7 linked regions of the Canis lupus familiaris genome follow. The protein of the gene in region 4 purifies or fractionates together with the protein of the main gene of each other region. This does not show direct contact. Links are inferred from orthologs where the notes say so. Each region holds a gene or a part of one and is shown on either strand. Other genes may lie near its edges. The genes, in order: MTERF4, OBSL1, LLGL2, KBTBD7, LLGL1, MRM2 and NSUN4.

What was found.
Region 1: the proteins of KBTBD7 (region 4) and MTERF4 purify together in Homo sapiens (co-immunoprecipitation; 3 studies listed by BioGRID and IntAct, counting the BioPlex papers as one, with this or other methods). This does not show direct contact. The link is inferred for Canis lupus familiaris from reciprocal best matches to the Homo sapiens genes KBTBD7 and MTERF4.
Region 2: the proteins of KBTBD7 (region 4) and OBSL1 purify together in Homo sapiens (affinity purification with mass spectrometry; 3 studies listed by BioGRID and IntAct, with this or other methods). This does not show direct contact. The link is inferred for Canis lupus familiaris from reciprocal best matches to the Homo sapiens genes KBTBD7 and OBSL1.
Region 3: the proteins of KBTBD7 (region 4) and LLGL2 purify together in Homo sapiens (co-immunoprecipitation; 4 studies listed by BioGRID and IntAct, counting the BioPlex papers as one, with this or other methods). This does not show direct contact. The link is inferred for Canis lupus familiaris from reciprocal best matches to the Homo sapiens genes KBTBD7 and LLGL2.
Region 5: the proteins of KBTBD7 (region 4) and LLGL1 purify together in Homo sapiens (co-immunoprecipitation; 4 studies listed by BioGRID and IntAct, counting the BioPlex papers as one, with this or other methods). This does not show direct contact. The link is inferred for Canis lupus familiaris from reciprocal best matches to the Homo sapiens genes KBTBD7 and LLGL1.
Region 6: the proteins of KBTBD7 (region 4) and MRM2 purify together in Homo sapiens (co-immunoprecipitation; 3 studies listed by BioGRID and IntAct, counting the BioPlex papers as one, with this or other methods). This does not show direct contact. The link is inferred for Canis lupus familiaris from reciprocal best matches to the Homo sapiens genes KBTBD7 and MRM2.
Region 7: the proteins of KBTBD7 (region 4) and NSUN4 purify together in Homo sapiens (co-immunoprecipitation; 5 studies listed by BioGRID and IntAct, counting the BioPlex papers as one, with this or other methods). This does not show direct contact. The link is inferred for Canis lupus familiaris from reciprocal best matches to the Homo sapiens genes KBTBD7 and NSUN4.

The regions. Positions count from the first base shown.
Region 1 is NC_049246.1:51,199,570-51,203,786, forward strand, and holds the start of MTERF4 (transcription termination factor 4, mitochondrial), read right to left. Parts: upstream 2,834-4,217; 5' UTR 2,831-2,833; coding exon 2,614-2,830; intron 2,183-2,613; exon of another isoform or gene 1,906-2,182; intron 1,412-1,905; coding exon 1,227-1,411; intron 560-1,226; coding exon 161-559; 3' UTR 1-160. UniProt on the Homo sapiens protein: Regulator of mitochondrial ribosome biogenesis and translation. Binds to mitochondrial ribosomal RNAs 16S, 12S and 7S and targets NSUN4 RNA methyltransferase to the mitochondrial large ribosomal subunit (39S).
Region 2 is NC_049258.1:25,945,149-25,948,762, forward strand, and holds part of OBSL1 (obscurin-like protein 1), read right to left. Parts: coding exon 3,534-3,614; intron 2,460-3,533; coding exon 2,187-2,459; intron 1,585-2,186; coding exon 1,312-1,584; intron 934-1,311; coding exon of another isoform or gene 809-933; exon of another isoform or gene 614-808; intron 1-613. UniProt on the Homo sapiens protein: Core component of the 3M complex, a complex required to regulate microtubule dynamics and genome integrity. It is unclear how the 3M complex regulates microtubules, it could act by controlling the level of a microtubule stabilizer.
Region 3 is NC_049230.1:5,864,905-5,868,518, forward strand, and holds part of LLGL2 (LLGL scribble cell polarity complex component 2), read right to left. Parts: intron 2,946-3,614; coding exon 2,864-2,945; intron 2,570-2,863; coding exon 2,454-2,569; intron 2,087-2,453; coding exon 1,928-2,086; intron 251-1,927; coding exon 88-250; intron 1-87. UniProt on the Homo sapiens protein: Part of a complex with GPSM2/LGN, PRKCI/aPKC and PARD6B/Par-6, which may ensure the correct organization and orientation of bipolar spindles for normal cell division.
Region 4 is NC_049243.1:9,372,739-9,376,886, reverse strand, and holds the start of KBTBD7 (kelch repeat and BTB domain-containing protein 7), read right to left. Parts: upstream 2,890-4,148; 5' UTR 2,607-2,889; coding exon 567-2,606; 3' UTR 1-566. UniProt on the Homo sapiens protein: As part of the CUL3(KBTBD6/7) E3 ubiquitin ligase complex functions as a substrate adapter for the RAC1 guanine exchange factor (GEF) TIAM1, mediating its 'Lys-48' ubiquitination and proteasomal degradation.
Region 5 is NC_049226.1:41,543,554-41,547,603, reverse strand, and holds the start of LLGL1 (lethal(2) giant larvae protein homolog 1), read left to right. Parts: upstream 1-1,161; coding exon 1,162-1,242; intron 1,243-4,050. UniProt on the Homo sapiens protein: Cortical cytoskeleton protein found in a complex involved in maintaining cell polarity and epithelial integrity. Involved in the regulation of mitotic spindle orientation, proliferation, differentiation and tissue organization of neuroepithelial cells.
Region 6 is NC_049227.1:15,025,587-15,029,644, forward strand, and holds the start of MRM2 (rRNA methyltransferase 2, mitochondrial), read left to right. Parts: upstream 1-1,233; 5' UTR 1,234-1,410; coding exon 1,411-1,458; intron 1,459-2,622; coding exon of another isoform or gene 2,623-2,653; coding exon 2,654-2,912; intron 2,913-4,058. UniProt on the Homo sapiens protein: S-adenosyl-L-methionine-dependent 2'-O-ribose methyltransferase that catalyzes the formation of 2'-O-methyluridine at position 1369 (Um1369) in the 16S mitochondrial large subunit ribosomal RNA (mtLSU rRNA), a universally conserved modification in the peptidyl transferase domain of the mtLSU rRNA.
Region 7 is NC_049236.1:14,148,717-14,152,330, forward strand, and holds part of NSUN4 (5-methylcytosine rRNA methyltransferase NSUN4), read right to left. Parts: intron 2,752-3,614; exon of another isoform or gene 2,251-2,751; intron 1,123-2,250; coding exon 962-1,122; intron 1-961. UniProt on the Homo sapiens protein: Mitochondrial RNA cytosine C(5)-methyltransferase that methylates cytosine to 5-methylcytosine (m5C) in various RNAs, such as rRNAs, mRNAs and some long non-coding RNAs (lncRNAs).

The sequences.
Region 1 (4,217 bases), on a different chromosome or scaffold from region 4:
CTAATGCAGCTCCTATCCAGTCTCAGGAGATTTATAACAATGTTTTCATCAGAACGGCAGTTTTAGAAGGAAAAATAACCTGAGATGATCCAAGTGAAGCTCTCAGAAGCTTTAAAAATTTGTAATGTTCTTTGTTATCTGTGGGCTCTTCATTCCAGTCCTACTGCCACTCCTCCTCGTCCTCATCCTCCTCTTCTTCCTCCTCCTCATCCTCCTCTTCTTCCTCCTCCTCATCCTCCTCGTCTAGACTTAAGCTCTGCATGTCAGGCATCTGCCTCTCAGACTCCTCTTCCTCCTCCCGAGCAAAGAGCTTCTTAAAAACTTCAAACTCCTCAGCAGAAGAATGGGCTGTCCTGGCCAGAAACTCAGCTTCTGAGACTCTCAGAATGTCCTTGAGTAAAGGATTGGGGATCTGTGTCTGGCCCTTCTTATCAGGGGTCTGGTACCGCCCTAGGCGCTCGAGGAACACATGTCTCTGCTTGATCTTGGTTATGGAGTGCTGCAGGAAGTCGGTCCGCACCACGTCCGCATGTTTAACCCCCATCCTAAAGTAGGCATACTGAAGACACAGACACAGTTACCTACGGTCTGTCCTGCCACCGTCCACAATCAACTCAAGCACTCACAAAGAGCTGCCCAACTAGCAGTGCCAGGACACTCTACGATGCCCAGCACTGGTGTGACGGCTGAGTTTTCGAAGCATTTCCAAATTCATATTGAAAAAATTTAGTAGAAAATGAAGTGTTAAGTGGGATGAATTCAATTCTTTTTCCTCAGGAAAAAAAAACTGTGAGCATGGAAAGAATGGGCAAAATATCCAGAAACATCTAGCAATCTAACCCAACCTGTCAAAATTGTTAACCAAAAGACAAGACAACTGTCACAATTATGCTACTAAAATCAATACGCAAAATAGGTTCAAAAAAAAAGAGTCTTTAGTTCTTTTAAAACCACCTATTTCAAGGAGAGGCCCCATTTGGACCCCAGGAGAGGGACCAGGTCGTTCATTATTAATGGCAGAAACGCTGTAGGAGAGGTTTTCCGTAAGGAAGTGAAAGACCAGAGCTGGATTCCCTCTGGAGGGTGTGTGCAGGGGCTCTAACCCTTCCACCTCGTCCACCGCCCTCGGGGTGCCTGAGGCTTCTCATCCACGGAGCTCACCCTCGCTACATTCAAACAATGCGTTTTTACTTCCCGAACCCCTACCAGTCACCAGTCATCCTCACCTGGAATTTGTATTCGAGGTCACCAGGGTCCTCCCGAAGAACATAGGGGCATCTGTGCAAAATCCTGGTCACCTGTTGTCCCGTGAAAAGGCATTTGTCCTTGAGAACCCCCACGATGTTCTCAATGTCCCTCTGGTGCATGGTGAAGACTTCAGGGCAACAGAGAAGCAGCGTCTTCAGTTTCCCTGCAAGACACAGGAAAGGGCAAGTACATGATTTCAGGGCACTCCGGAAAACCAAGGGGCTTGCCACGCCCACGCCAGCATTTAAAACTGAACAAGGAGGCTCTCCTCCACGAGCGACAGCTTCTGATGCTCCCAGCAGCCTCAGCAGTCGCTGAAGCACCCACCACCGGCATTCCTCAGATCTCTTATCCACACTCGCACAACACCGAGCAAAAGAGGCCCCTTGAACAAACGCATGAGGCAACTGGTAACTGAGGCCGCCCAGGCAAACTGGGCCCGTGGTCTTCCCAGGGATGTGGGCAAAATCCAGTACCCGGAAACCTCAAATCACTTATTTAAAAAAGTATTTACAATCTTTCTAACAGGTCAGCTACTCGCTGTCTCGCTGAAACGTGCCTAGGATGACTTCTAGGAGTTTAGAGTTTCCCTCTGAAGCAGAAGGCCTCGCTGAGCTTTCTAATTCATAATCACAGTATATAAAGTATTGGGCTCACTCAGCCTTTTAGATTATGCCGCAACAGGTGATCTGCCAGGGGGGACACAGAAGGCGCTCTCTTCCTTATCTTCTGGTGAAGGGGCCAACGGAGATCCTCTGAGACCGGTTCCCAAACAACAGTATCTTCCCCCAACAATATCTTCCCGGTAGGAGTCAGTAAAAAGAAGAAGAAAAAGAACCCCACTGGGGCGCCTGCGTGACTGTCGGTTAAGTGTCTGCCTTCGGCTCAGGCTGTCATCCCGGGGTCCTGGGATGGAAGCCCCGCGCCACTCCCTGCTCAGGGGGGAGCCTGCTTCTCCCTCTGCCTGCCCCCTCCCCTACCACTTGTTTTCTCTCGCTCTCAAATAAATAAAATCTTTTTAAAAAAATGAAGGAAAAAAAAAAAAAAAAAAAAAAAGCCCAGTGACCCTCCTGTGTTACAGTGTGTAGGGATCCCCGAGGCCCTGACGGGCTCCTAGCCCCGCTGCCCCGAAGGCCGCAGGCTCCCCGAGGTGTGAATCCCGGTGGGGGAAGCCAGGCTCTCTGATCCCCGAGTCCGGCCATCTGGGGATCCGCAGTACGCGGAGGCGGTCACCGGGCCCGCACCTGCACCCCCATCGGGCCTCCGCTTCCGTCCTGCAGCCCGAGCTACCGCAGGCGCCGCCCGGCCCACCCGCCGCCCACCCGCCGCCCACCCGCCGCCCGGCGCCTCCCCGGCCTCCTGTACCTTCTCCGAGGCCGAGCCTCCGCAGGTAGCCGGAGCGCCTCTGCGCGTGCGCCGCGGGCAGGTCCAGCAGGCGCGGGCTGCTCCTCAGCGCCAGGCACACGTGCTCGGGGCTCACGCCCAGGAGGATCAGCTCCGAAACGACGTCCAGCACCCGCCGAGGCCGCGCGCCCCGCCACACGCTGAGCAGCCCCCGGACGTGCGCGTCGCTGAAGCCCATGGCCAGGAGGGCGCCCGCGACCTCCCCCCGCGCGCCCGGGCCCCGAGCCCCGCGGCCCCCTCCGCGGGACGCTGCGGCCCTTCTCTGCCCTCCGCGGGGCTGCGCGGCCAGGCCGGCCCAGGTGCGGGCCCAGGTGCGGGGCCAGGTGCGGGCCCAGGTGCGGGCCCCGCCGAGGACCTGGGAGAGACCGAGACAGGGGTCGGCTCCCGCCCCGCGCTGTAGAGGGCACCGGGCGGCCGTGCGCAGCTCCGCGGGGCGGGGGTCAGGGGTCAGGGCGGGGGGCGGGGAGGCCGCGGGGCGGGGGGTCAGGGGTCAGGGAGGGCGGGGGCGGGAGACGCGCGGACCGCGGCGCAGGGAGGGAAAACCACGGCGTGTCGCGTCCGCGTGGCCGCGCCTCAAGGGTCGGGGTCTACGCGGCGGGGGCGGGGGGCGCTCGTCGGGAGGTGGGCTCGCGTCCGCAGCCGCCCGGCCTGTCCGTCCCTTCCGGGCCCGAAGCCACATCCTGGCGCCGCGGCCCGCGGAGCGGCTTCACCGACCGGCGTCCCCGAGCCGCGGCCTCCCGCCGCCCCGCACCTCCCGACCCCGCCCGCGGGACTGCCCGCGCCCCCTCACCTGCCCGCCGAGCGCCGCCATGGCTGGGGCCTGACGAGCGCTTCCGCCCCGCCGGCCCGCACTTCCGCCCTCCCGTGGCCCGCACTTCCGCCCCCCCCCCCCCAGGGAAGCGCGAGTGCGCGGGAGGTGCGTTCCGCCGCGGGCGTTCCCGGGTGCGGGGGGCGCGGCCGGCCCCGCCCCGCCCCCCCGCCCCCCCGGTCCGCGGGCGCCCGCCGCGCGCCCAGGTGAACAGCAGGGGGTGGGCGCCGAGCTGCGGCCCCGGGCGGCTTCCGCGGGTCTACGCAGCAGGAGCCGTGGGCCCGCGAGCAGCGGGGAGGTCTGGGGGCGGGGAGAGGAGGCCCGGTGCCCCCCCCCCCCCCCGGCGGCGCCGGCTCCAAGCAGAGAAAGGAGGCCTCGCAGGTGCTCGCGGGGCCCCGGACTCCGCTTCCCACGGAGGAGCCCTCGGGGCGTCGAGGACCCGGGGCGGGGGGCGGGGCCTGGGAGGGGAGGGCGGGGCCTGGGAGATGGGGGCGGGGCCGGGAGTGGGGGCGGGGCCTGGGAGGGGGCGGGGCCTGGGAGGGAGGGCGGGGCCTGGGGGACCTGCGGACGCCCCGGCGGGGAGGGGGAGGGGGTGGAGGGCCCCAGCGGCCCGGGAGGCTCCCCTCCCCTCCCCCTCCCCCCCCTCCCCGCCCGCCCCCCGCCCCCCGCCCCGCGCGGCGCAGGAGCTCAGTCCGAGTCAGGGCGGTGGTTCACTACAAAACTGCTTTAATTTGGAAAATATTCAAAACACAAGGTA
Region 2 (3,614 bases), on a different chromosome or scaffold from region 4:
GCTCTCGACGTAGGGCAGGGCACAGGGCAGCAGGACGGCGTCAGGTGCCGGAGGGATACTCCAGTGTAGCCAGCGGGGTTCTTCTGTGCCCCCCCCACGAGCTGCCTAGGCCCTGCAACATCCACCCCCCCCCCCGAAAGCCCACCTCATACACACACATGCACGCACGCACACACGCACACACATGCTGGGATTGGCACTGTATCGGCTGCAGCCTCCAAAGTTTCTAGCACTGAATGAAGCACCATCACTTCCACAGTCGTCCTATGCTTTTCCAGCTTTGAACACTCCCCAGGTCAGACCAAACCTGACCCCGCTTGGCTAACTCAGGCCCTGCCCCAAGTTTCCGGTTTGGAGGCACTTCCCGCCTGCCCAGAGGTCAGCAGCCCCGAGGCCCCGCAACACCGGACCATCCACAGTCTGAGACCCTCTAAAGAGCCTGGCTTTCCTGCTAGGCCGTGCGCTCCTGGAGGGGAGGGGGGCATGTCTGTCTGTCTGCCTGCCGCCGGGCGTCCAGGGCTGGCTCCTTCGGGGGGCATCCACTTTCCCCGAAGCCCTCCCTGACTCGCCTGTTCTCTCTCGAGCCCTCTGCTCTCATCCTTCACGGCACTTGTCACGAGGTGTCCGCTGTACATTTATTTGCGCGTTTATTGGTTTAACACAGGGGTCGCAAACTCAAACGCCCACGGGGGCCGGGTAGGTAAGGTCAGTGGCTGAAGCAGTCTGGGGAGAGGCAAAGAGGAACGGCGGCGGCGGGGGGGCGGGGGGAGGACAGAGGAATGTGGGCCCCATATTAGGGGGGCAGCTGCTACTCAGCACCAGCTGTTCGTCGCCATGGGGGGAAGCGGGACCAGAGCCGCCGGGTCTTCGGCTTTTTCAAGAGGACGCATAACTCCGGATTGTTATTTGAACTGTCCTGACTTTGGTAAGACTCTGCAGGCCAAACAAAACACATCTGTGGGCTGCATGGGGCCCTATGGACTGCCCGTTTGCGACCCCTGGTTAATAGCTGCCTCCCCAGCTAGGCTGGCGGCTCTCGGAGAGCAGAGACCACGCATGTCCGCGGCCCCCGGCCGTCACGCAGGAAGTGCCCGGTAAACGAGCCAGTTATTCCTGGGCCTGGTGCTGGGGAGGAGATGGCTCACTCGGACAGGGGCCCCGGGGTCTTCCGGGCAAGGAGCCTTGGCACATGCACCACAGCCCTACCTCCCTCCTCCCCAGTGTGCTAACTAGGGAGTGGGTGGCCAGCTCCCCCCAGGGGCTCAGGACCGTCTTTTGGTGCCCCCCGGGGCAGCTGGGGTGAACCCACACCTGTGACTGTGACGGTGAAGGAGGCCGACTCGTCATCGATTTCACACAAATACTCGCCGGAGTCCTCAAGCTGGACAGCGGGCAACACCAGGCGGCGGACGGTGTCCTCCTTCTGCAGCAGCAGCGCAGGACTTTCCACCACTTCTTCCCCGTCCTTGGTCCAGCGCACCTCGGCCCACGGCCGGCACAGCTCACAGGTGAGCACCACGCGCTCCAGGCGCACGGCGGCCACGTATACCTTGCCGCTGGGGTACACGATCCACGAGGAGACATCTAGAGGACGGGGACAGTCACGGCTGGGACTGATGGCCCCGGTGCCTCCCCTGATCCGTGCCTGCCCCCTCCTCCTGGCACGAGGGCCATGCATTGAGGAAGGGAGCCTGCTCTCACATTAGGTCTCACAGCCGCTCCCAACTGGAGAGACAGCTATGGTCACCGACACGCATCACAGGTGCAGTGGCGGGGTGGGGACCACGGGGTCAGCCTCTGCTATAGAAACACGCCCCGTTCTCGGGGTCAGGACGGGGACTGATGAGTGGGACCCGGGAGAGGACAGCTGAGTGCCCAAATGGAGCCTGGGTTTCCTGTAGGCTTTCGAGGCCTTCTCACCCTTCTAGCACGGGATGCCCCGCTCCGCATTAGGGTTGCCCTTTGCAGGAGCATGGAGAGAGCGGAGCTTCCCTGGGGATCCTGTAGCCCTGGCCAGGGTTAAGGACAAGGCATTTTCTGTGGGTGACTGAACCTTAGGGTGCAGACCAAGAAGGAGACACGAGATCAGCTGGGGGGAAGGAAGCAGGGCCAGGGGACGGTGGCCCGGGGCTGAGAGTGTGACAGTGGGCCCGGGCGGTGTCACATGGGCCCGCCTGGCCCCCCACCTGTGATGGTGACCGTGAAGTAGGCGCGCTCGTCTCCAGCGACACACTGAAATTCGCCCCCATCCGGGGGCTGGGCGGCAGGCAGCACCAGGCGGTGGTGGGGCCCTTCCTTCTCCAGCACCACGAAGTCACTCTCCTCCACCTCCTGCCCATCCTTGTACCAGCGCACGGGCGCATCCTCTCGGTCCACCTCACAGGTCAGCATGACACACTCCGAGGTTATGGCGTGCACGAACACGTGCTCCTGGGGGTCCAGGATATGCACCGGGGGGTCTGGTGGGGGGCAGAGACGTGGTCACATAGACACCCCCCCACACATACACACCAGACAGCTTCCTGCCCGGAGGACACTGGGAGGGTGAAGGCCATGCTGTGCGAGGCCTACTGAGTGTGTGGCAGGTGAGGCAACGCAGACTATGTGGCACCTGAGTGCTCCGTGAGTCCCCAGAGGGTCGGGGCAGCTAGGGGGGTACACTGGGGGAGGGGGGCACAGACTACCTTTGTCCCCGCTGAGAGGAGGTCACTATCATGGGCCACATCAGGGCCATGCTTGCTGCTGCTTTTGTAAGGGAGGCTCCGAGCCCTGGCCCCAGGACGGGCAGGAGGTGGCAACGACTCAGCAGTGCCACCGTGAGATGGCTGCCTCTACAGGTAGTAAGTTCCCCATCATGAGGGGCATGTAGGCAGCAGCTGCAGGACCGCCTGGCAATGCGGCTTAATTAGGATTTCCACTCAAAGTGAGAAGATGAGCTGCCCTCCCAGAATGGAACCCCAGGCTCTACCCTGGAGAGTCTGGCGCTGCAGGTCCGGCATATGCATTGAGAACAAGCTTCTGGGGTGGTTCTGAAGCAGCCAGAGCATGGCCTGGCTTGAGAACCACTGCACCACTGCACTTAAAGCTTCTCCTTGCCTCGGGCCACCCGAGGCAGTGGGATAAGCAGACCTGGGTGTGAGCCCAGCTATGGTGTTTGCTGGCTGTGATCATGAGTACATCACATAACCTCTCTGAGCCTCAGTTTCTTGCCCTGTGACCTGGAGATCTTCTCATCCAGTTGTGAAGGTCACACGAGATCGTATACACGTGAAACATTTAGTATACGTTGGGCTCGTGGTAAGTACCCAATCGACAACCAGCACCTGTCTCCCAACCCCCTACCCAGCCGAGGACACGTGGAAGGTGAGTGTGCTGGAGGGTGTTGGTGGTGGGAGGATTGAGAAGTACAGGATGATTTGAAAACAGGTCCCCTGGGCCACCAGGCTCTTCCCAGAAGGGACCCCAAGCAGGCGGACCATGGGGCAGGGTTGCGTGGCCCCCCGAGTCAGCCCCAGACCACCGCGGTTGCTGACCTCGGACGGTGACACTGAAGAAGGCCGAGACCCCTTCCGTCCTGCACTCAAACTCGCCGCTGTCCTGGACCTCGGCGGCCG
Region 3 (3,614 bases), on a different chromosome or scaffold from region 4:
GTACCCCCATGTCCCAGCACAGGGGCTGTATGACATGGGAGCCTGGGAGAGCCCTGTGGCACCTGCCACACTCCTGGCATGGCCTACCTGGTTGCTGAGGAAATGGCAGAGTGCGCGGCTGCCCTGCAGGTCCCAGATAACGATGAGGCCCCGGCTGTAGCCGATGAGGATCTGGTTGGGGTCACGGGGGTGCTCCTGCAGAGCTTCCACCATCTCAAACACCCGCCGGTGGCGGGCCTCCTCGGGCAACCTGGCCAAAGGAAGCACTGTGAGGCCAGGCTGCCGCCGCTGCCAGGGCAGGACAGAGCACTGGGCATAGGCACGCCTGTGGGTGGGGATGTGCCAGGGTGGGGAGATCGCAGGGACACCGCCAAGGTGGGAGAGAAGCCGTGCGCAGAACAGCATAGTGATATATAGGAACCTAAGGATGCAAACACAGCTGGTGCCGCTACAAGGGAAGGCAAGGAAGTGACTTCCAGAAGTTGATGTGGTGGTTATCTCCGGGGAGGGAAAGGGTCGTGACTGGGGAGGGCACGTGGAGGCTCACTTTACAAGAATTCACTAAACTGTACATTTGTATTTAGTGCATTTCTGTATAGAGGTGATATTTCTTAATAAAAAAGTTTTTAAAACCCACTCAACAAAGCTCTCTATGTGAGTTGGCCTGGCCCTGAGCTTTGACCCCCTCCCCCTTCTCTGGGCCTGGAATGCTGATGTGAAGTCTGGAGGTGCTGCAGCCAACAGAGAATGAGGTGGCAGACGCAGGACCCACAGCCAGCGCCACAGGAGAGTAGGTTATGCAAATAGCCTGGACCTCAGGACACTTCTAGGCACCCAACCAAGTCAAACCTCTCTTTATTTAGAGAAAAGATTTACATAGGTAGGAGGGGGCTCCCAGGGCACTCAGGCTGGGGGAGGCCCCCCAACTGGACTTCCATCGGCAGAGTGAGGTGGCACTGGCATGGCCACATGTGAGGAGCAGGTCCTCCCACTGCCCTGCCCACAGACTGGGCGCCCAGGCTGAGAAGCGGCCGAGCCTGCTGACCTACAAACAGCAAACAGTCCTGCTCTGACCATGGCCGTGCTGCCCTGACTCTATCCTGCCGAGCGGGAAAGAGGGAGGCGGTTGTGCTCAGAGGGACCCAGCCCCAAGCAGGAATCCTCTCGACCCAGCTCTGGACAGTGGGCCTGACGGATGTGAGTGCATTGGAAGGTTGGTCCTTTCAGGAACAGTGTCCCACCGGCTCGAGAAGCAGCTCCCGTCCAAGGACCCTGGCCTCCTCTCTGTCCCGTGAAACCCTGGAATATCCCACCACAGCTGATTCTTCAGCTCCCCCTCCCTGGGACCCTAGTACCCTCTTCTCCACATCCTGACCTGACCTGACCTATTCTCTGTCACAGACTATCATGGGGCAAAGCCTCCAGAATGATCTGAAGAAGCCTAGAGGGTCGAGGCTGACCAGGAGTTTGGGCCATGGGGCATGCATGTAAATGAAAACTCAGCAGACTCCAAAGCATAAACCTCCCCAGAAGTTTGGGGAGAGGTTTGGGCCCCTTGTGCCCCACTGCAGAGCCTGGGGGCTGGGAAATTTGTGGTGACAGTGCAAAGGACAGTAGACTAAGAACTGATGACAGTGCAAAATCATTTTGAGTCTCATTTTTCTCACCTTTAAATGAAATGACAAGTTACCCCCAAAACCATTTGAGTGCTATGATGTTAAACACATCATGGGGTCAGAGTCTCTGCTTAGGGGACAGGTGGGGAGCTGAGAATCTCTCCTCCCTATAGATAGATATAGTCTATAGTCCCTATAGACTCCCCAGGAGAGAAATTAGAAGCTCCTGAGGTATTACTGGGACAGATGGGAGGAGGCCAGGCCCAGCTGGAGGGGGTGGCTCCCCGACCGCCAGGGGTCTGCAGGCTCACCACTGCAGCACGGCGTCCGAGCTGATGGTCTGGTCCTCCAGCGTGTGGAAGCCCGGCAGCTGCACCACGAAAACGTTGCCACTCTCAGTGCCCAGGTAGAGGAGCTCGTGGGAGGAATGTGGCAGGACCACGGTGATCTGTGTGGCGCTGGGGGCAGCCCTGAGGATGGGAGTGGCTGCCTGTGAGTTGGCTGCCACCGGGCAGGGAAGCCCCTGGGCTAGGGGCCCCTCGCCAGCCCCAGGAAAGGCCTCGTCCAGGGAAAGCAGACCCATGAGGTCCTTTAATGGGGTCCAATGGGGTAAATACAGGGATTACTTTCTGCCAAGACAGAAGCCAGATGGTGGAGGGCGAGGGCTTGGACGGGGCAGCAGAACCCCTGCCCCCTTCCAGAGCCTCCTATGTAGACGCTGTGTGGGGATGGAAGGAGGCAGGGCCACCAAGGGTTCCACAGGACCTTCCTGATCGACACCCGGAGCTGGGTGTGCATGTCAGGCCGGCTGGGAGACGACGGGCACCAAGTCCTTACCCTGGGGGGCCACGCAGTGTGTAACTCTCATCTTCCTGCAGCTCCGACACACCGCCTTTGACTGTCAGTCTCCACAGGTGCAGGCTATTGTCATCTAGCAGGGTGACCAGCTGGCACTAGGAGGGGAATGGCACCAAAAGCAGGCGGGTGCCATCTTATTCACTAGGGAGGGCCAGCATTCACTGTGGCCTCTCCCACTGGGGTGGCCCACCCCATGTTGTTTGATTTGGGGAGGCCCAGAAGCAAATCCCTGGCTACACTCGGGGTGGCCCATGAACCCAAAGCCGAGGGAAAGGGAGTCCCAGGCCCTCCTATCAGAACCAAACCCAGGGCCGCCAGATGCCCGCCTCACCGTATGTACACCCCTTCTGGGTGGCATGAGAGCAAGAGGGTGTGGAGGGGCCCCTCACCTGGCCAGGTAGGAAATGGATCTGCACCACAGCATTGTTCTCTCGGTGGAGTCCCATGAACTCCACCCCTGGCGCACCATAGCTACAGGCAGCAGGCTCAGGAAAAGCTGCAGAAGGCAGGACACCACCCCCTCCCTCTAAAGGGCCAGGACCTCTAGGCCCACGTGGCAAGAAATAGAAGTACCTCAGCGACAGGCTCACCCTCCTCCCAGATGGGGCCTGGGGTTGGGTGACGCAAGTCCTTTTCCTTGCGACAGCACTTGGCCAGGGGTGATGTGACCCTGATGGGGAGCCCACTCCAACCAGGGATAGCTTTTCCAGCCAGGCAGGTGGGGTGACACTCTAGGAGGGTGGAGCCTTATCCTGGCAACTGCGGACTGCTTGCTGCACCCTCACCATGACCCTAGCACCTAAGCTGCAACAGACCCATGAGCTACCACAAGGTGGCACCTGAGAAGAGATAAGGGCACCGCCCCCAGCAGCTATGGCCATGAGTCTTGGCAAGGAGGATTGGTAACCAGGATATGGCCGTGGCCTGGCAATGATTAACCAGCTGAGGGGGTGCTATATACCACCTCCAGTGTAGCCCAGCCTGCTGGAGGCACCCCCACCTCCCCTGCCTATGCTGCAGCAGAGGATTGGGAGGGAGTCACAGCTTCACCGGTGTGTGTGTGTGTGTATGTATGTGTGTGTGTGTGTGTGTGTGTGTGTGTGTTCCAGCTGGGCCCTCCATGGGTGATCTCCATTGGAA
Region 4 (4,148 bases):
TGCAGAAGGGGAGAAAACCACACCAAATTTAACAAACGATAGAAACGATAGTAACTTATAATACTAGAAACTGGCTAGTTCAAAATTTGGGAAATCTACTACTTTCATTATTCTAAAAGAAAATACAACCTTCAAAACCCTACCAACAATTTCTAGTTCAATTTTCTACTATAAAAATTAAAAAGTTAAATTCCTTGTGGCACTAAGTTGAATTAAAACGTTAACAGAAGACAAACGTAGATAATCAAAATATAAACAGTGTAAACTAACCAAAACAATCCACTGGTGCAACAAATACTCGAACAACCAAGAAACCACCAAGCATTCTAATCAGTTACATAGTTTGTTTTTGCATATTTTAATCTTGACTTTTAGCATAATAAATTATCATATAGGTTGATTTCATGGACTGTTTAACTTTGTAACATTACATTAGTAATTCAAATGTTACCCTTTCTAAACCAAATCTGCAGTCCTAATCAACATTTTTTTTTTCATGAAAAGGAAGGGATATCTTTTAAAGATACATTCCATAGAAGTAGAAACATCTTAGTGCTTCAAAATATTTACAAAGAACCCTGATGATCCTGTGCATTTCCCTGAGGTGCCACCTGCACCCAGACTTCATCATCGGAAAAAGAACTTGAACTTCCTGACTCCGAGTCCAGCTCACTGAATCCATCTAAGTCCCATTCAGTACTAGACTCACTCCGTGCATCATCTTCCTCAGTGATAAAACTCTGTCCAGGTTCAAGGCAGGAAGGATAAACACGAGCACAGAGGCAAATAAAGCCAGAGTCAAACTGCAAAAGACCTAACATGGTACCTATATTAATCCACTGGTCTTCCCTAGTATCGTATTCATAAACAGTCACCCGGTTTTTTTTCCACTGAGGGGTGGTAGAAGTAATGAGGAGCAACTTTTGGCCATGATTGACAATCTGGTAGTTGTGGGTCTCTGAGTCCAAGGGGATATTACTAATCCGCCTCCATTCTCCCCTGGCTGGGTTGTAGACCTTCATGACCGGGATGTCGCAGATACAGTAGATCTCATCATTGAAGACACAGGCTTCCTGAAAGTCACTACGTTTAAGAGAAGCACAGTTCAGCCATGTATTGTGGCCCGGGTCATAGTAGAGCATGCGCTTACTGTTCACAGCATAAAGATAGTTCTGAACCACTATTAGTTCAAACGAATAGAAGGAATGGGGTACAGGAGCCACCAGTGCCCACTGGTTTCTCTGGACACTGTAGCACTCCACTTCCTTCAGTTTAACACCGGTAATGGGGTCTCGCCCACCCAAAATGTAGATGTAGCCATTGAGGTAGGCCACATCCATGCCCTCCCGGCACAGCAGGCGGTCGGCCAGCTGCTGCCAACTATTCTGGGCTGGCTTGTACACCCAGAGGTCCTTCCTGGGCTGCGCGGCCAGGTAGATGTCATGGTCTGGAGAGACGCAGACAGCTGAGGAAGTGACAGTCTTGGTGTGAGCCAAGCTGGTTAAAGGGGATGGCATGGTGTAAATGTCCCCTGAGTATGGGTCGTAGCACAGAAAGGGATCTCGGGGATGTCCAAAGAAGATCACCATCTCCTTGGCACACATACCCAGCCTCTGGGGTGGGTTTTCTGCTGTGGGCACAACACAGCTGCTGCTGCTATCTGGTTTGGGCACCAGAGCCTTGCACAGCTTGTCACCATAGCGCATCTGCAGGGCCCCCTCGATAAGGTCCAGACAGTACTTTTTCACAATGGGCTTGGTCAGCAGCCCCTCCAGGTAATCCTGATCCTCTTCTCTGAAGTGTGTCCAGCGGACACACTTGAAGACTTCCGCAGCGCTGGGTCCGCGCTCCTTGGGAGCCGCCTCCAGCCACTGCACGGCCACGTGACACACGGTCCGCTCGCTCTCGATGTCTAGACTATCCAGGCGCAGGATGGACAGCAGCTGGGCCAAGCTCAGATCCGCCAGGCTCTCCTCCCTTACTGAGCCCATCCGGCTGAGCTGCCTGAAATTGTGGGCTATGAAGGACTGGGCCTGGGATCGCAGCTTATGATGGTCGAAGGCGTCGGCGAACTTGAGGATGGCGGTGCAGTTGGCCAGGTCGAGGCGGCGGGCCAGGAAGGAGGCGCAGGCCTCCCGCACGTACTCGAGCTGCAGCATGTCGGAGGCCGCGTACAGGCGCTGCACGTTGGCCTCGCTCAGCGACACGCGGCCCGTGTAGCAGTAGTCGACCAGCACCTCGAAGGACTCGGCGTCCACGTCGTGCATGGTCACGTTCGCCTGGTGGCTCTCGTACATGCCGCCCGTGAACATGCTCTTGAAGTAGGGACACGCGGCCGCCAGCACGTTCCGGTTGCAGGGGAAGAGGCGGCCGGTGCCGGGCCCGCTGCCGGGCGTCACCACCTCGATGGTCACGTCGCACAGCAGCCGCGCGTCGTAGAAGGACTTGAGCTGCGCCAGGAGGGCTGCGGAGTGAGCCGCGTCCTTCAGCTCCTCCGGGCCCGTGAAGAAAGCCGAGACCGAGGGCTTGGAGATCCTCTTGGGCCGCCTGCCGCCGCGGGGACTGGCCAGGCGGCGGGGGCGCGGAGCCTCTTCCCGGGACTGCATGGTGGAGATGGCGGCGGGGTACGAGGGCGAGAACGGGTGCACGGACCGGGCGCGGGCTCCTCCTCGCCCTCTCCTCGCCTTCTCCCTGAAGAGACTGCAGGGGCCGCACTTACCCAACTCAGCCCCGCGCCGCGGTGCCGCCTCCCTTTATCGCGTAGCCAGCGCCTGACTCACCCGCTTCCAGTTCCGCGCCCTTTTCTCCGCCTCAGCTCGCCTTACAGAACCCGGCTGGACGGAACCGAGAGAGCCGCCACTGCCGCGCTGGCAATACCGGTAGGCGTCCAGCGGAACTACGGCTCCCAGGCTGCCTTTCGCGCCCCGAGGCATGCCGGGGCCCCTCCAGACTCCAGGGGATCGGCGGGCGGGCCGGAGCCGCTGTGCACGCTGGGAGTGGTAGTTCGAGGAATATCGCGAGGTTTCTCCGGGCGGGCGGACTTTTAGCTGACAGAATTCGAAAAAGCGTTAATCTGGGTTTGTTGGTTTTAGAGCTTTGGCTTTGATGTTCTTTTTTATTTAAAAAAAAAAAAAATCTCCGTTTTGGTATTGGTCTTCTCTCTGAGAACTTTCCCCTCTTTGTAAAGCGGGGGATACGAGTTTTCATAGGATTATGTGAGAGTGGGAGCGAGGTGGATTTGCGCAGGTCCCAGGATGCTTCAGCGAATACCTGCTGATTAATCACATGCTTGCAAGTGCCTGGAATATACAGATTCAGCCACTGGTGGCGTCTCCCAATGCGTTTTTAAAAATGTGCCCGCGTGCGAAGCCGTGAGCGATTTGTGTGAGGAATCTTAATTTTACTGTTGCTTCTTTTGAAGGGTTCTTCTGAAGGCTACCACCATCTTTTCAGAACTAAATGAGATCCACAGGTTCGTTAGGGTGTCGTGGACAAGGATGAGGTCCTGGCGAACAGCGTTGAGAGGTGGCCTCCGACGTGCGGCTCAGGCCTCCGACGTGCGGCTCAGGCCTCTGACATACAGCTCAGGCCTCTAACAGGCAGCTCAGGCACATGCATAGCTGGGCTGACCTCTCACCAAATCAATATTTACGCAGGGGGAGCAGGATTACTTTCATAAGCTTTTTTTTCTTTTTTTTTAAATTAAGATTTTTATTTACTTATTAGAGAGAGAATGCACAAGCAGGGGAGTGACAGGCAGAGGGGGAGGGAGATTACAGGCTCCCTGCTGATAGGGCCGGATCCCAGGACCCCGGGCAGGCGCCTAACCGGCTGAGCCACCCAGAAGCCCTTTCGTAACCTTTTAGCAGGAATGTTTTGGTCTAATACTGCTCGTTTCCCTTCCTCTCCACAAATCAGCCTAAGATTATGTAGTTATCTTTATCAAGGAGATAAAAACGGGAGTTGTAGATTAAAAGATTTAAACAAACAGACCTCAGAGCTCTGTATTCATGCATGCCCCAGTTTTTTTTTTTTTGTTTTTGTTTTTTTTTTTAAGATTTTATTTATTCATGAGACACACACACACAGAGAGAAGCAGGCTCCATGCAGGAAGCCCAATGTAGGACTCAATCCTGGGTCTCCAGGAT
Region 5 (4,050 bases), on a different chromosome or scaffold from region 4:
CGGCCGGCGGTGGGGGACAGCCAGGCCCCACGTTGCTTGGTAGCTACCTTAGGATCAGAAGTCGGGCCTGCCTCCCTGGACACAGCTGGGGGGCGGGGCGGGGGGCGGCTGGTGCTGGCCCATAGGCCCCACCTAAGCTCCTGGGAGTTCCCTCCTGCCCAGCCCTGAGCGGGGGCAGCCTATCCTCAGCCTTGGAAGGAAAGGTTCGGCCTTGAGGCCACGGTCCAGAAGAGAAAAGGCGGCCTTCGAGGTGGGTGGGGACAGGCCGATAGTCCCTTGGAGAGTGGAGGCGGGGTGCAGCTTTGTTTATATAGTGTTGCGTGCAGGGGAGGCCCTTCCCCCACCCTGGAAGAGCCCAGATCCAATCTCGGTTCGCCCCAAACGCCACCTCCGGAGGCAGGGCCTCTTACCTGCCCCTCTCTAGCTGGATGGCCCGTGAATCCCGCGCTGCTACGCGTAGCCTTTTACGATGGACCCTGAAGGATGTGTAGGAGATTCCCAGGGGCGAGGGACTGGGGAGGGCATTCCTGACTGACCACCAGTGGAGCAAAAGCGCGGTGGTGGGAGGTGTTCCGGCACACTTGCGAACAAAGCGCTGCCCCGTGGAACTGTATACCTTGGCAATCACTGGGCCGTAATGTAGGTGGGGAAACTGAGGCTGGGGGGCCGAGAAGTTGGATCTGTCAGAACTCTCCCGGCTCTCGGGGCAGGTCCTCCTCATTACCTGAATAAGCACGCCGCTCCTCCCTGGGGGAAGGAAAGGCCTCCTCCAAGTTCGGGAACACCCGTCAGCCCCCTCCAAAGCTTGTCCCCAGCCGCCCACGCAGGAAGCCTGGCTCGCGGACTACAATCCCGGCAGGACCCGCGCCGCGGCGCATGCTCGGCGGGAGCACCTTCGCGAGCCCGGCCGAGCCCGGGGGCCCAGTCTTCCCCCATTGTCTGGCCGACAGGGGCGGGGCGAGCGGCACCGGGGCACACCCATTGGTCGGGTTGTACGTCAGTCGCGCTCTGCGTCCGCCCCCGTGCAGGCCCCGCCCCGCGCGCCCGCGTCCGGGCCGCCTGGCGCCCCGCCCGCGCCTCAGGACCCGCGGGGCCGCGCGGCGCATCCTGCGGGCGGCGGCGGCGGCGGCGGCGGGCGCGGCGCCGGCAGCCGGACGCAAGATGATGAAGTTTCGGTTCCGGCGGCAGGGCGCTGACCCGCAGCGCGAGAAGCTCAAGCAGGAGCTCTTCGCCTTCAACAAGGTGCGGCGCGGCGGTTCGGGCAGAGGGAGGGGGCGGGCCGGGGGCCCGAGCCGGGGGCCCGAGCCGGGGGCGCGGGGGCCGGAGCCACGTCGGGCCCGGGGGGAGGGGGCGCCCGGCCGAGGCGCGGCGCGGGGGCCGGGTCGCGCGCCCGTCGGCGGGCCCCACTTCTCGCCTCCTCCTCGGCTCCACTCCCGGACCCTGGGTGGGTCTGGGTCCCCTGCTGACTTTCCGAGTCCGCTCCCCCGGGTCCCTGTGGGCCTCGCTGGCCCTGGCTCTGCGGGTCTCCGTGTCCCTGGGTCGGTGTCTCTCTCTGTCCCTGTGCGACTCTTTACATGTCCTGGGTCTCTGCCCCGCCTCGGTCTGTGATCACCTCCTGTCCTAGCCTATCCTATGCCTGTGTCTGGGGAGGGGGTGTCTGCCTCTGTCCCTGTGTGTCTCTGCGTATCCCTTCTCTTTCTTCGTCTCTCTGTCTCTTCATCTCTGAGTCTTTGCGTGTCTCTTCGCCTCCATGTGTCTCCGTAAGGTCTCTGGAACTCTCACTCTGGCTCTCGGTCTCCGTCTCTTTATCTCTCTTCCTTTGGGGGCCCTCGGAGCCCCCGCTCAGCCCTTGGGGCAGCCCAGGGCCCCAGTTTGTTTTGCTTTCGCACCCAGGCCAGTGGGGAGGGGTGAGGAACGGAGGCAGATGTTGGGGGGTGGGGCTGGGAAATCCTTTCCCTGTTTCTTTCGTCCCCTCCCCCAAGGCCCGGGGCTCTGCCTTGGGGGCTCTGCCCTGCCCTGTTTTGCTGGGGGCTCCAGAGAAGATGCCTGGCTGTGTAGATGAATACACTCCTGGGGCCTCAGTTTTCCTTGCTATAAAACGGGGCCACCTTTTTCCCTGCTCTGGCTCCCTGTATCACATGGGCCTGCTGACCTATCCTTTGGGCCAACGTGGAGAGATGGTTGCTCCTTCCTTTCTTTTCCTGGGTAGGGCAAGAGGGGCCACAGTACTGAGGCTACCTTCCACTCCCTCCTCCCCTCCACCTTTGCACCCATGCGTGGTTGATCCGGGCCCCAGCCTTTCCCTTGCTAACTTCTGGGGTGTTGCTTCCGGGCTCAGTTTTACTCCAGACCTCTGATTGCACAGCCCCTCACTGCTCTTGGGGATTAGAGTTACTATCCCCATCATATAGGTGAGAAAATGGAGATTCAGAGAGGGATGACGACTTGCCCAGAGTCAGAGAGTGAGTCGGGGCACTCTGTCCTCGTGGACCCTTGTCGATGAGGTTTGACTTTAGCTTTGAGGTGCAGGGGTTTTTGGAAGGGCTGCTGTAGTCCTGAGCCAGACTCCAGGAGACTCTTGTTTAAGAGAAAGCTCTAGGATGGCTGGATCTGAAGTGGTCAAGGTGGAAATGTCCTTTGGGGCAGGCAGGGTTTCCTGGTGATGGCGGCTGCTGGGGCCTTCGACATGGTGGCTGAGAACTTGCAGGGGCCTGGGAGGCCCAGAAGGGTGGCTGGTGCCCGGGGTCTCCCCGCTGGTCTCTTTCATATGCTGGGTGGCTGTGAGCAAGAGCCCCTGTGAGGTGAGAGGAGAAGGATGCTGGGGGTAGGTGTCACTTCATCAGCCAGTGAGTCGGGGTGTGAAGTGGAGATAGTGGAGATAGATGGTGGCGAGGCTGGGCTCCTCCTGACTGGCCTTGGGTCAGCAGAAGCCAAGGGTTCCCTGCTAAGGCCAGTGAGGCCCTATTCTGAGTAGGTGGCATTGGTGGGAAGGGTGAGGCTTGGGGTAGGGGCTTGCTCACACGAGGAGATAGGTGATCACTAGAGAACAAATAGATCCCAGATTCCCGAGTGGTGGGAAGGGTCAGAAGCAAGCATGGACCTTGGACTGTCTTGCATCCGAATCTCTGTCCTGCCCATAGCTTGCCTGTGGGATGTCTACTCTATGTCAGTTTAACAATCTTGAGCTCCTACTGTGTGAGGGGCCCCCTTCTAGGTATTGGGGACACCACAGTGACCAAGAGAGACAAATGCCTCTTCGGGGTGCTGATATACTCATGGGGGATATAGTAAAAAGCCACAGCAAAAGAGTAAAATGTGCAGCAGTTTGGATGATGACCAGTGCTGTGGTTACAGTAAAGTGGGGTGAGGGTAAGGAGTATGGGAACAGGGAGGCTGCTAGAGCAGGGTGGTTTAGGGAGGGCTTTGAGGAGTTGACTCCTGAGCTGAGAGCTGAGTAATGGAGAGGAGCCCTCTTTGGGCACTGCTGGGTGTCCAGGTAGATGGACAGTAGATGCAAAGGTCCTGAGGCAGGAGCCTGCCTAGTAAATTGGAGGAGAGCAGAAGGGCATTGGCCCAGCAGTCAAGCTAGGGGAGGGAGGGAGGAGGAGGGCAGACAGGGGCCAGGTGGTGAGGTAGGAGCCCCAAGAGGGTCCTGAGCAGAGGAAGGGACTGGCTAGACCTGGTCAGCTCTGGTATGAGCATGGGAAGCTCTCCCCCTGCACCCCCAGCCAAATGGGCTACTCTGTCCTCAGGTGGGCTCACTGCCCCTAGTGAGCACATGGGACACTGAGGTGTCGAGAATGTTTTGACTAGCCTGAATCCAACCAAGCAGGCTGCAGAGAGAGCTCAGTCCCTTCCTGGATTAGTTGAGGCAGGAGGGAGGCTGGGCCAACAGGCCTGCGGACCACAGTTTTCTTTTGAAATGTATGTCTTCCTGAGGCACTGGTCAGGAGACAGCTGGACCCATGTGTCATGTCCCACATTGGTGTCGAGGATGGGGGTGGGGTAGGGGGTGCTCCAGTCCGGCATCTGGGGATGAGTAGGAGTTCC
Region 6 (4,058 bases), on a different chromosome or scaffold from region 4:
CCCCTCCCCCCCGTCCCCCTGTCCTTGGAACTCCCTTTCCCCCTCCCCCTCCCAGGTCCCTAGGTCCCCAGGCCCGTCCTCACCCGGCTGGGGCTCAGCGCCCGACTCCCGCGTCCCAGCTCCGCACCACTCGGCTCCGCGCGCGCTTTCGGATCTGGGGCGCCGCTTCCGGGGGCGTGGCCTCGGCCGGAAGCGAGGCCGGCACTTCCGGCGCAGCGAGCGGAGGGAGTCGGCCTGCATGGCTCTGTGAGTGGGGCTGCGGGCCCAGAGGCGGACGCGCGGGAGCGCTGGTGCGGCCTTACCGGGCGCCTCCTGCAAGCGTGCGGGGGGAGGACGGCCCGGGGCGTCCCAGCTTCCCTCCGCGTGACAGGGGCGCGGACGCGGGCTTCCCGGGCGCAGTGCCTAGGGGAAGACTTCCTACACGAAGCCGGTAGTCGGGGCCGCTTCCGAGGAGCGCGGGCGGGCGGAGGGGGCAGGTGAGGGGGCCTGCAGGTGGGGGGCTGCGGAGAGCGGAGGAGACAGGTGAGGGGGTCTGCAGGTGAGGGGCTGCGGAGAGCGGAGAGGGCAGGTGAGGGGGCCTGCAGGTGGGGGGCTGCGGAGAGCGGAGGGGACAGGTGAGGGGGCCTGCAGGTGAGGGGCTGTGGTGAGCGGAGGGGACAGGTGAGGGGGCCTGCAGGTGGGGTGGTGCAGAGAGTGGAGGAGACAGGTGAGGGGGCCTGTAGGTGAGGGGGTGCAGAGAGTGGAGGAGACAGGTGAGGGGGCCTGGAGGTGGAGGGCTGCGGAGAGTGGAGCAGACAGGTGAGGGAGCCTGCAGGTGAGGGGGCCTGCAGGTGAGGAGGTATGGAGAGCAGAGGGGGCAGGCGAAGAGGTGCTGCAGGTGGAGGGGGCACTGCAGGTGAGGGGGCAGATGAAGGGGTGCTGCAGGTGGAGGTGAAGCTTGCAAAGGGCACTGCAGGCCTGAAGGCTGTGGCATCAGGGCTTGCACAATTGGCCAATGTGGCTGGACCCCAGCTGTGGGAGGGTCCTGGAGGTCAGCTGTGCAAATTTGCAGGTCTCCAGTGTGTGTGACTCTGCTTTCCAGCCTTCCCCCAACCTCGGGAGTTGGTTCTCGTGCCCAGGATTGTTCTGTGCTCCTCCCAGGAGGTCCCTTCAGCTTTTTTTTTTTTTTTTTTTTTTTTTTTTAAGATTTTATTTATTTATTCACGAGAGACACAGAGAGAGAGAGGCAGAGACACAGGCAGAGGGAGAAGCAGGCTCCATGTAGGGAGCCCGATGTGGGATTCGATCCCGGGTCTCCAGGATCGCGCCCTGGGCCAAAGGCAGGCGCCAAACCGCTGCGCCACCCAGGGATCCCTCCCTTCAGCTTTTTGAAGGCAGTGACTGCAATTACCCTGCCCAGATCTTGCCAACATGCTTTGGTTGTTGAAGGGGCTTTTGCTTGGAGCCGTGGAGATAATGGTAGGTTCTTTCCATCAGAAACATGGATACAGAACTTATTTGTAGGGTTGTGCTGAGAGTTAGTTAGGGGATATACGGGGTGTGGGTTTCTGGTACTGGATAAGTTGTTAAAAACCTAACTTTGCCAAAGATACTTGGAAATTGTCCTTCACCTGCTCACACAGGTTGAGTTCAGTTGTATGAGGCAATGTGACTGGTAAGGCCCTGTGTTGGCCTGTGCAGCCATGGAGCTAAGTACAGCAAGGGTCTGTCCCTGGGGGGGTTCTCTCGCGGTTCCCTAGAGCCCAAGGAGAAGTTAGTGGGTGAGCAGGAATATTACCTTTGTGAATATCAATGGTACTATTAACCGGTACTGGAAAGACCTTGGTTGACACAAGCAAAGTGACCATCAGTGATGTTTGAGTCTTACTTCTGAAGGAAACTTTCATAAGCTGAGTGGAAGCAATGCCTGCTGTGCTTGAAAGTCCCCAGGAGAAAGCCCCCAGGCCAGGCGGCTGAGACAACACAAACTTCTGTCTCACTGCCCTCACACAGCAGGGGGCTGCAGCCCCAGGCCAACGTGTGGACAGGACTGGTGTCTCCTGAGGCCCCTCTCCTTGGCCTGTAGATGGCTGGCTTCTCCCTGTGTCTTCCCCTCCCCACCCCTCCTGTGGTTGGTCCTGTGTCCCTGTGTCCTAACTTTCTCTTAGGAAGATACCAGTCATACTAGATTTGGGCCCACCCATATAGCGTCATTTTAAATGAATTACTTCTCTATCTTATTTTATTTAAAAAAAAATTTTTTTATTCATTTGAGTGAGACCTTGAGCCAGCACGAGAAGGGGGAGGAACAGACTCCCTGCTGAACGGGGAGCTTGACAGGGGGCTCGATCCCAAGACCCTGAGATCATGCCCCGAGCTAAAGGCAGATGCTTTACCAACTGAGCCCCTGAATTACCTAATATTACCAGTCCTATTTTGAGATACCTGGGGTTAGGACATTAGCACACGAGTTTGGGGAGGGACTCGGTTCACCCCATTCCACCTGCTTTCTGTCTGGGTAGCCTTGCCAAGTCTCCTCCCCGCTCCAGTCTCTGGGCGCTGTCTCTGAAAATACATGGGCTGGACCAGGGAGCCTACTTATGTGTGTGATGCCCGCCTGTATGCTCCTGTTTGCTCCCTCAGGTCTTTGAAGCTGCTTCATGTGTCCCTGCAGTGTCAGAGGTTTCACACAGCTGGGAGTTACTACAAGGGTCGGACCGGTGCTGAACACCTGTGGCTGACGCGGCATTTGAAGGACCCATATGTGAAGGCAGCGAAAGTGGAGAGTTATCGGTGCCGAAGTGCCTTCAAACTCCTGGAGATGGATGAGAGGCACCGGATCCTGCGGCCCGGTCTCCGAGTGTTAGACTGCGGGGCGGCCCCTGGGGCGTGGAGCCAGGTGGCTGTGCAGAGGGTTAATGCTGCAGGCACAGGTAGGACCTCTGACCACCTTGGGTCTGGAGGTGCAAGCCAGCTGCCCTCTACCAGGAGATTCACTTGGTGAGGACACCTCCTTCTGAGTTGCTTGTTTAGTGGTAGGAAGGCTGAAAGTAGGACATTGATGTTTTCAAAATGACAGCCACAGTAGAAAGGCATAGATTTAGAGTACCTCAGATTGTACCATGTCCATATGTACGTCAATGTGTCGCCATGTGCCCTTCGAGAATTCTTGCATAAGTATATATGTGTTTTTTTTTTTTGTTTTTTTTTTTTTTAAAGATAGTATTCTACATCTATGTTCTTCCTGCTGCTTTGGAGCCTTCATAGAGCTGTGTTTTCTTTTTCACTTACTAATATATTGACATCTGTCCATGACAGCAGATCTGTACCAATCCGAGGTTTCTGGCTCCTGGTCCTTGAAGCTCTGGTCTTCCCAAGGCCCCACTAGGTCTGCTTCCCGGAGCACCCGTGCTGGGGCTCTGGCTTCTCCCCTCTTGTTCAATCTGAGGGACTCTGCTTTTGCCATCTTATATTTTAGGATCTTGTCAAAGGTTTTCTATATGAAGATGGTTCCCCCAATTAATCAACAGGGTAACCAGTACCCTCAATTTAGATACCTATATTGTCCTTTTAAATGCTTGTGCAGAACTCCAGATGGCAGCTGTCCTGTGCTGTACAGCTGGTCTCCTTCTCATGGGCACCAGTGTTGCTCTCAGGTCTATTGCTAGGGTCCGCCATGCTGTGATGAGCATCTCTCCCCCTTCTCTGATGCCGTAAAATCTGAGGGTACCACAGTCCCTGGCACTATATGAAATATGCCGATTCACGAGGACCTCTCTCTGACACCTAGAGGGAGGATGCTGTGGCAGTAGTCCTAGTGAAAAATGAGGTTCAAAGGAGCTTGCTGACCTGCTGAAAGCGCAGACTGGGGACTGCTGCTCCCTGGGTTCATGACAAAGAATCAGCCTTATTATTATGGGTGGAATACCTCCAGGAGCTCTATCTAGAACAGGCGGAAAAAATGTTTTTAGCTCAACAAATACTGCCTAAGTGAAGGAATTTGTGTCAGAGACTTCAGCTCCTTTTCCTATCACTGAGCCTGTCTACAGACTTAATGAGTGATTTTAATGCTTCCTGGC
Region 7 (3,614 bases), on a different chromosome or scaffold from region 4:
TGGCAGGATATGAGAACACAGTACTCTTACACATTACCAGTAGAAACAAAACCAATGTAACCCCCCCAGAGAGTGATTTAGTACCCTCTGTCAAAATCTTACATCCATATAAACTGTTATCCAGCAAAGATACTTAAAAAGCATAAAAGTAAAAAGGACTGAACCTCAGGGTATATTATTAAATGAAAAAACTACAAAGTTCAAATAGTGAGAATAATACACCACCATTCCTTTATTCAAAAATACACACACACTGGAACACCTATGTGGGCTCAGTCAGTTGGGCATTGGACTCTTGATTTCAGCTCAGGTCATGATCTCAGGGTCATGAGATTGAGCCCTACATCAAGCTTGTACTGAGTGTGAATCAAGCTTGTACTGAGTGTGGAGCCTGCTTGAGACTCTATCCCTGCCCCATGCTCTGCTCACACACATGCATGTGTGCACACACTTTCTCTAAAACAAACAAAACCCAACAACACACATGCACATTTGTATTTGTATATCCACAAATAATACTTCTTAAAGGATACAGATGAAAACAAGCAATGATCATCTGTGGGGAGAGGAAAGATAGCTGAGAGACAGAAGTAAAAGGGAAGCACCTTCTGAATTTTACACCATGTGCTGTATTAATATTCAAAAATAAATTAGGTTATTCATACTTATTTTAATGAGGGCTTCTCACCAACCAAAGAAGTTGAGAAATAAAATAAGTCTAATAACTCCTTTCCCACTCAGGTTCAAACTCTTTCCTGCTAACTGTCTTTAATGAAGATAACACCAATGATTGTGCAGATGTGCAGACTCTGTTCTCCCAATCACCCACAGAGCATGGGCCAGGTCCAGAAATGACCGTACATCCTCAAACATGGAGGTCTGGATCCCATGAGAATTCTCAGGGCCTGGTGCTGGGATGGGAAGGCCAGATTTGGCTAGCCGGATGTCAGGAATCACTTACCCGGTCATAGGTGTCTCCCTCCAGTTCTCCCCACTTCCTGCCATCCCATGAGGTGACTCGAACCCGATTTCTATCCCTGATATCTTGAGGCACATAGCTGCGAAGGACCCTCTGTAGTCTGCCTGTTCGAGAAGTGGACAGATCATTGGCAGCGAGATTGCCTGTAGGAATAGAAATTTTTTTTTAAAGATTTTATTTATTTATTCATGATAGACATAGAGAGAGAGAGAGGCAGAGACACAGGCAGAGGGAGAAGCAGGCTCCATGCCAGGAGCCTGACGCGGGACTCGATCCTGGTACTCCAGGATCACGCCCTGGGCCAAAGGCAGGTGCCAAACCGCTGAGCCATTCAGGGATCCCCAGGAATAGAAATTTTAACATTGTGAGCAGCCCCGGTGGCTCAGCGGTTTAGCACCACCTTATGTAAGAGAGAAATAAACTTTTTTTTTTAAATATTTTAAATGTTTATTTATTTATGATAGTCACACAGAGAGAGAGAGAGAGAGAGAGAGGCAGAGACACAGGCAGAGGGAGAAGCAGACTCCATGCACCGGGAGCCCGACGTGGGATTCGATCCTGGGTCTCCAGATCGTGCCCTGGGCCAAAGGTAGGCGCCAAACCGCTGCGCCACCCAGGGATCCCTAAAATTTTCTTCTTTAAGCCAGTTCATTGATTTTCTATTGAATATTACCAAACCTAATCCATCTATCTTCTACTTTCCTTTTTGTGACAGACACAAATTCAAGAAATTGGTCACTTTGGGGCGCCTCGATGGCTCAGCTGGTTAAGCATCTACCTTCGACTCAGGTCGAGATCCTAGGGTCCTGGGATTGAGTTCCACGTCAGATTCCCTGCTCAGGAGGGAATCTGCTGTTCTCTCTCCCTCTGTCCTTCTCCCCCGGCTCATGTGCTCATGCTGTCTCTCAAATAAATCAATAAAATCTTTAAAAAAAAAAAAAAAAAAGCTTGCTTTGCTCTTGACTCTACCATAAGAAAAACCTTACTGCAAGTTTGATGATAAATGGTGACTGATACCTGGTCTCAGAGTCAAGAAGTGAAAGAGTGAAAGGGAGAGGCAGAACAATGGTGAAGAACTAGAGGGCACACCTTATCCCTTATCCGATGGGAGCAATCCACCATGCACCAGTTTAGTGTTTCTACACAGACCTAGAGTCCCAATTTTTGAGGGAACTCAAAGAAGTAAAAATTGGATTCTTTGCTCAGGAGGAATTTGTAAAAGGATGTGAATGGAGAACAGAAAAGCTGGGTTCTGGTTCTGGCTCTATCTCCAACTCAGGTAAAAGTTAAATTCTTAAATCTCTTCAGAGTCAATTTCCCCCTCCATAAAACACGAGGACTCTCTTGGTGAGGAGCTGGCATGGGGGCAAGGTGCTGGTAACTTAATACAACTTACAAGAGCAACTCTCGATTACTTCTCATTGGCCCTTCTTCTGCCTCTTAGAGTCCAGATCCTCCTCTTCTAGGTAACCCTACCTCACTTAACCTCTTTCTGATGGATTCCCATAGCACTGGGTCAGATCAGTCCAGCACAGAAGCTGGGCTCCTACACTGGACTCCTTAAACCATACTAACACTTTTTCTCCTCTGCCTCTGCACTACCAGAAGGGAAGACAAACATGGTACCATGCAATCACCCACAGGGCCTACCGTGAGGCTGGAAGCTAACTCAAACTGTGCAAGTAATTGGCTGATGAGACCTGGAAGACAAGGGGCCCAGCCCATCAAAAAGTCTAAGGCATAAGGCAAGAGAAGCCTGGCTGAGTTCCAAGGTGAGTGGAAAACCCATAGCCCCCCTCTGGATATTTCTCAGGTCCCTGTGGAACGAAAGGTGCCCATTTTAAGGCAGGATGTCAGCAAGTAGATAGCTGAAGTGAACATCATGGCGCACATGGCCCTGGCTGGTGGCTGCACTACTGAGATGAACAAGACTTGTGCCTGTCCCTAAGGAATTCATGCTTAGAGCAGGAGAAGATGCATACACCGTAAAGCTCTGACACAGGCTAATGTGCTAACAGTTGCAAGAGTGACGCCCGCGGCATGGGAGTGTAGGAGACTAAGGCATCACTTTGCAACCGGCTAGCAAAAGTCATAAGGGAAGACTTCCAGGAGGTGGCACCCTTGAGCTGAGGCTTGAAGGCTGAAGGCTTCAGACAGGCCAGCTGGGATAGATAAGGTGGCGGGTATTCTAGAGAGAAAATGGAACATGAGCAAAAAATGGAGGCTTATTCAAACAACAGAGAGTAGCAGAATGTGGCTGAAGCACACAAAGTCTGGGGAAGAATAACAAAGCTTTAAAGGGTGGCTGCAGCCAGATCTTATTGCTTTAGTTGGCAGACTAAGGAAATGAACTTAATCTTAGAGACAAAAGAAAACAGGGGTAGAGGAGTGAAAGTGTCATGTGTAGATTGATCAGGGCCCTGGTTTAATCTGCCTTCAGAGACCTTGCTCTGCTCAGCAATCTTTCTTGGCCAATTGACAGAGGAAGAGAGGAGAAAACTGCAAACAAAAATCCACCACCTTAGCAAGCAGGCACTATACCCCGCCTCTGACCTTAGGACCAGAGAGCCCATCCTACTTGGCAAGTCCCTGACTGGGTGAGGTAGGGGGCCCTCCCTGCCCAAGACACCAACCC